Linked DNA regions of Danio rerio. The protein of the gene in region 2 purifies or fractionates together with the protein of the main gene of each other region. This does not show direct contact. Links are inferred from orthologs where the notes say so. Each region holds a gene or a part of one and is shown on either strand. Other genes may lie near its edges.

Region 1 (3,840 bases), on a different chromosome or scaffold from region 2:
TATACAAATTTAACTAGTTTATGTTGACTAAAGCATCTGATACATTTTATTTTATTTAAATAGTATTCGCTTTTACACAAATCTAATCTATATTTTTGATTCTGGATACAAATGCTTTTATATGTAGGCTCCTGGAGGCTTTGTGTTTGAAACATCCTCATAATAATAAAAAATAAAAAAATTGCATGAAGTGACAAAGTTTAAACCACACATATGAGCTTACAACAGGTTGAGATCATTTTCTATGGTGGTTTAGGGGCACAGAAATCTTTTAGAACCACGAATTTGTCTAACTGTCTGTTCTTACTGTATACAAACACATCTAGAGCTTGTATTCTCTGTCTGTCAGGCCGCTGTACCCATCAGTGGAGGTGGAGGATGAGTGTGTGCAGGAAGATGATGCAGAACTCACACTCAGTAAAGTGGAAGAGGAGATGACAGTAAGTCACTCTTAATAAAAAAAAATCAGCCTGAGGTATATTTGATGTCTGTCAAGATTTACTGTTAGAGAAGTGGTTTTATTGTAACTTGGACTGAGTAACTTAGATCAGGATTTGTGTAATTATATTAGTAGTTACCATTTGTGATCAATAACAATTAAAAGGTCGAAATGTATGTGAAAGAATTTTCCATCACCATTCAGCGAGTAAGTTTACATTGACACCAGTAATCCGATTTTAATATAATTAAAACAATACTCTGATTAAGAGTCATGCAAACAGCGATTTTTGATTACTTTAATCTGATAAAGGTCATAATCGAATTAAACAGAAATCAGATTAAGACGTGTGGAGTATGCTGATTTAAGTCGCGTTATTGAAGTGCAGCACAGACATGTAAACACCACAATCAAACTATTACCATCGTGTAGGATTTTTGCCACATTTTGCAACAGGATAGTCTATACACTAGGGCTGCACGATTCAGGCTAAAATGAGAATCACTATTTGTTTTGCTTAAAATCAAGATCTTTTTTCAGATTTTCTCATGATTCTGTAGATGTTAAATAAAGGTTAATATGAGTGGGCTATTATTCTTGCTAATTCTCAAACATATGGAATAATAATAATATTAGGTCTATTAGGTCTACTGTTCGTTAAAATGCTAAATTTTGTATAGATTTGGAATGATGGACTTGAACAGTATTTAAATTTGCCCTGTTTGTTCATTCACAGTAAAATGATCACATCATATTCATGATTCTAAAGTTGAATTATTGTGTTTGAGACATATGCTTATCATTTATCATTGACAACATTAGACCATTTTTAATGAAACATTTGTAATTATCAGAGACCCAGTAAACATTTATTTGCATGCACAACTCTTTGTGTTCGCTATGAAAGAAAAAACATGAAATACTTGTTGTAATCATAACTTTAAAACACAATATGATCATTTAAATGATGTGTGTGCCGGTTTCAATTTCACTTATGAGTGCGGCTCATGGCCGCTGCCACTGTGAAAAAAACACACACATGCAAATCATATTTCCTGTGCAGCTCCCAAACAATCGCTCTGAGCAACAAACTGAACGTTATTTACAAGTTTATTAAATGTTATTCACATGCAGGTTCTGTACACTAAAGTAGGCATCATTGGCGGACATGCCCTCTCGGTAGTAAACAAAGTGAACATGCATGAAATGTTCCCGAATGAAAGTGAAAGTGCCAAACTGCAGTTAAAGTCAACACATTAAAAACAAAACATCCAAAATCACATGAAACTCTGGAGGAAACGTGGATATCGTAATGAAGCTAATCAAATTGTGTGCTGTAACATGTAAAACAGGATCATTAAAGGAACATGTAAAAAGCAACTCACGTAAACATCTTAATCATGTTATTGTCTTACTCGGATTTGATTACTGATGCCCATGTAAACGTAGTCAGTGTAACAGATCTCTACTTATTAAAATATATAAAAGACTAAGTAATCACACACAATTTTATTGTAGTTTTAATTACAATTTTCTTATTGACAAATGGATAAAATCCAGTGGTTTAAATGACACTGGCAAAGTATAAAAGCTTAAAATGACAATTAATTTATATTTTGAAGCAGCGATTTATTCCTTAAGTAGAGCATTGTATTATGTCATTAAATGAGTCTTGTTCTAAATGTACCTGACAACATTTTTTTGGTATATAAAAAGTCACTAAAACATTTTAGTGGTGTCTGTTGTAATTTGTGGTTCCAATATGTGATTTTCATTTTTGCTCAGAAAAATAAAGGCCATTTATTGCAAAAATGATCAATTAAAATAATTAATATCAATATTCTTCTAGTATACATAATCCCTTGCTTTGTGTGTTTTCTACATCAAATGATATTTAAACAGAACAGTTAATATAATAACCTTTATTTAACCAGGTAAGTCAATTGAGAACCAGTTCTCATTTACAATGACGACCTGGCCAAGAGGCAACAAAAAGATGCCGATGCAGTACAAAGTAGTAGAGACACAATACAATAACAATTTCACAAATGCAGATAATAACATATAAAACAAACAAAAAATCTAAAAACAAGCACAATGATCTTGATCTATTGACTGGATAAAATTTTTAAAAGATGATAGCGGAATGAAAGTGCTGAGCTTTAAGGTCTAATTAAATGTTAATAAAATAATAATAAAAAGTTAAATGGAATACAATTTGGCAGAATGTCTATGTTGTGATTATGTTTCCACAACAAAAATAGAAAATATCATATAAATGCTTATTAATATATATATAAATCACTACTAAGGTGAAATGCAGAAAGACATGACATTGAATCACACAGACTCATGTGTAAAGTGAGTGACAGTGACTCACAGACACACTCATTAAAATGTGCATTTTCAGCAGGAGGATGAGGAATATGAGGAAGAAGATGGACTGGATTTAGATGCACTGAAGACCAGAACCAATGGCGTAAGTCTTGTTTGAAAAATACATTTTACACAAATACATTATGCAAACCTGAATGGAATATTCCTTATACTAAGTTAGCAGCATCAACTCAAGCTAAGAAAATGAGTATACTACGTATTATAATCTATACAGGATTCATACGGTCATGGAAAAACCTGGGAAAGTCATGAAATTTAGACATAGCAACAGAAAAACTCAAAGTTTTGAATAAGTCATGAAAATTAGTTTAACAAATATCTGTATACTTAATTATAGGTTAGTTGTCTACTGTATACTTTTTTCTGTCTTTGGCCAAAACATGTGTAAGCATTAAATAAACTTTACATAGATATAAAATTTAAATTAAACTTAATAGATTGTTGCGTGTGGGTGACATGGTTGCATAGCAAGAAGGTCGCTGGTTTGAGCCTCGACTGGGTTAGTTGGCATTTTTGTGTGGAGTTTGCATGTTCTCCCCGTGTTTGCGTGGGTTTCCTCCGGGTGCTCCGGTCCAAAGACGTGTTGTAGGTGAATTGGGTAAGCTAAATTGTCCATAGTGTATGTGTGTACTGGTCCTCCAGGTTGGGGGTTTGGGGTCTAGTTTTACCTTATAAAAACTAGATGTTACGAAACACCAATATGGTGCGGCTAAATATCATCTTCGATATAAATGGCCCTGGGAGTAAGTAAGTAAGATTGTTGCGTGTTTTATGATGTGTTAAAATAAATTTGAAAGTGCAGTTTTTTTATTATATATTATCTATGCATGCGTAGACATTACATGAAACATTAGGTCATAAACAGTTTATAGAAAAGTCATGGAATTTTAGTAGTAAAAATGTGTATGAACCCTGTATGTAAAGTGCTCTATAACTAGTAGAAGTGTGTGTCTTTAGGAGCTCAGTGGTTCGAGGCCTGCAGTGGTTTTGGAGTCAGATGTTGA
Region 2 (3,194 bases):
TAATATCATTTGTCTATATGTTTCCCTTTTTTTTCTTTTTGCATTTTTAATTCACTAAGATCTAGCTGTTGATTGGGAAGTGACCTAAAGATAAAGAGGAGATGCTACTGTCTATAATTAAGTTGGTATTGGGATGGGTTCTAATAAACATGATATTGGTTTAGATGCAGTGAAAGTAATCCATTGTCTTCTACTAGCTAAGGTCATATTATTCCAGCTAATTATTGTGCTCGTCTGTTTAATAGGTGGCTGCAAATGGATCAGAACTCCAGCCATAATTTATTCTGTTCATGTGGCCACCACTCTGGTCCCAATTTTAAGCCACATACTTTTCCACAAGTTTCCTTTGAGTCCACATCCGGGACCCCAAACTTTGAATGAACGTCTGACCCTGGTGTCCATTTATGCTCCGTACCTCATCATTCCCATTATGATACTGCTCACCATGCTCTTCAGCGCAACTTACAACTCACCATCTCTGAAAGGAAATGCTCCCTCAAAGGCCAAGAAACAAAGATAAATGCCAGTTCATCTTTCTACACCCTAAATTAGAGCACAGTATGTATTGATCAAATCCCAACAGGGTTGTTAGTAGTCATTATTTGATAAACGTGATTTAATATGTGCCAAATTTCTCAATTATATGTGACCATTTTTTAAGCTCTAGAAATTGTTTACCGATGACAGCAGATGTAAATGCAAAATATATTTTTATTCAAATGTTCTTCAGATCTTTATGAGCTTTGCCCAATGTTGAGATTACACATGGTAAATGTAAACAAGTAATAAATGAACTTACTTTTCCATAACTTCTACTGAAATTATTTTGGTTTGGTCCCAATAAAAATATCATGAGGATATGATATAATAAAAACGACATGGGTTCAAGTCTCAAACAGGAGTTGTAATCATACAGAAAACAATAGATTTACCTGAAGATGTCACATGATGGAATTATTTACAGTAACATGCAAATACTGTATTTCCCTATTGTAAAAAAAAAGATCAGATTTACAAACTAATTTTCATATAAATAGTATAAATAACATTTGTATATAAATAGTTTCATCTGAGATTATGATCTATGGTTGGAAAGATTACAAGGATGTGCCTCCAGGAACTGGCCATGCAAAAGCACTCAATGCTGTGAGGTTGAGGCTGAAACAGACGTCTGTTGTCTGCCATAACTGCTCAATTCAGTTCATCTAGTTTGAGACCTTGCACTTATTAGGAAGTCAATGTGAATCAAGATGCATAGCATCATTTTTCCTGTCCAGCAGAGAGAGGAAACACAGTGCTCTTATTTCTGCAGTATAAACTGATCAATGAATTCACTCTGCTCAGCTTCCACTTTCTGAAGAGCTTCATATTCTATTCGATACCTGCAAAACAAAAAGACTTTTTAGTCTTGAAGAGAAATTCAGAGCATAAACACAATGCTGTTCACTACTTGAAGTGGCTGTATGCAACATTCAGAAACCCTTGTCATAAGCAATATTGGTGGCCTAAAATGAACGGCATACAGTTCTGGGCAGATTACTTTGAAACTGTAGTCAATTGCTGATTACTGATGATCATGAAGAACTGTGGTTCATTTTAGGTAATGGTTTATGTATTTCAACTACTTTTAGATTACGAACTTTTCACTTACCAACTGATGTAACCACATGTTTATTTTGCTAGCACGCTGAAATTAATCTGTGCTCTGAATTAGTCAATTCAGTGAAAAAGATGTTCAGTGTTTTGATATTCGTTAATTAAATTCTGACCACTTACTATCTACACCTCTGATTACACAAGTTTGGGTGATATATGCTTAACCACGCCCCTCCAACAGTTACTTTGCTGTGAGTGAAAGATAAAAGGAGGAGTCCAAAATGTATGTATGTATGTAAGTATGTTTCATTATTTTAAAATGTTATATACTTCAATTCCAAGTTACAACCTAACTTTCAGAATCTGATTACGTAATGCAGATAACATGTATTTAGTTGCTAACTAGCACTGTGCACATGCCAATGCAAATGCTGTAATAGATTTATGGTGATGCTCTTTCTTTTGTTCTCTTTTAGAAGTAACAAGTTGGAAATTACCATGCAGTAACTGAAAAATGACTGAAAAATAGAACTGAAGAAAAATATCAGACCATAATGATGTATTATGATGTATTATCATATTTACCTTTCCAGTTGCATTTTCTTCTCTGCAATCAGAGCCTGAAGCTGTTGCTGCTGGGCTTCCCGTTGCTTTTCAACCGATTTCAGCAAATTTCTTGCCCCTATGGCCTGAAGGTGAACCATATATAAATACAAAACGCAAATATGCACTGCTAATAGTTTAAAACAACAACGTACCTTCATTTTTTCAGTTTCGGCTTCCTTCGCAAGTTCATCCACAAGTTCAATAAGTCCACCTACAATTTTCTGAAACTGTCCGATCTCTGTTTTCAAAAGCAAAAGGAGAAGTTATTGATCTGGACTGCAAAAAGCAAAGAAATTCAGTTAAGAGAGATAAACTTCACAATGAGATTAAAAAATAAAAAACACTTACTGTCGACAAACTCCTCACATTCCTCTTTGAGCTCAGTTGTTTTCTGGCTCACATCAGGCTCAAGTACTCGCAGTTTGTTGAGCTCATCAAAATGAAGACCAGCCTCTGCTAACGGGTCTTTAGCCATGACCAGAGGACCGTAACCTGCCTGTGTGACTCAATAATGGCTGATAATTATACAGAAACAGAAGTATGTTAAAAGAAAAATATGCATAATTTTATTGTATTCAATACTGACAAATACAGTGTTGATTTTGCAAAGTAAAATGTCTAGACGTGCCAGTATTCAATAATATATCACAACGATAATGAACATACATGCTTTATCACTTTAAAATAAGTAATAATTACTTATTGTTATTGAACTTTCAGAATGCATTTTAAGAATATTCAGTTTGCTGCTTTTGCAATGATGTTCTAAAAAACTTTTTCGCGTTAATCTGATGTACAACATGGCTAAAATGTCATTTAATTAGTTTGAAACGATGTTTTGCTCTGAACATTTATATACCAGCAGGGCCGGAGTGGGACTGCTTTTTAGCCCTGGAGTTTCAAGCCTTAGACCGGCCCACCTCAGTTCACGACTGACTATATTAAAATAACGTCATTTCTAATTTAGTTTCTAATGACAATATACAATCTTT

What was found.
Region 1: the proteins of ift20 (region 2) and ift57 purify together in Homo sapiens (affinity purification with mass spectrometry; 3 studies listed by BioGRID and IntAct, counting the BioPlex papers as one, with this or other methods). This does not show direct contact. The link is inferred for Danio rerio from reciprocal best matches to the Homo sapiens genes IFT20 and IFT57.

The regions. Positions count from the first base shown.
Region 1 is NC_133177.1:45,216,234-45,220,073, forward strand, and holds part of ift57 (intraflagellar transport protein 57 homolog), read left to right. Parts: intron 1-349; coding exon 350-440; intron 441-2,849; coding exon 2,850-2,918; intron 2,919-3,793; coding exon 3,794-3,840. UniProt on the Homo sapiens protein: Required for the formation of cilia. Plays an indirect role in sonic hedgehog signaling, cilia being required for all activity of the hedgehog pathway.
Region 2 is NC_133190.1:26,254,723-26,257,916, reverse strand, and holds the end of ift20 (intraflagellar transport protein 20 homolog), read right to left. Parts: intron 2,722-3,194; exon of another isoform or gene 2,718-2,721; 5' UTR 2,678-2,717; coding exon 2,551-2,677; intron 2,441-2,550; coding exon 2,355-2,440; intron 2,286-2,354; coding exon 2,182-2,285; intron 1,383-2,181; coding exon 1,301-1,382; 3' UTR 694-1,300; downstream 1-693. Other genes in the region: tmem97 (sigma intracellular receptor 2), read left to right, coding at 246-520. UniProt on the Homo sapiens protein: Part of intraflagellar transport (IFT) particles involved in ciliary process assembly. May play a role in the trafficking of ciliary membrane proteins from the Golgi complex to the cilium.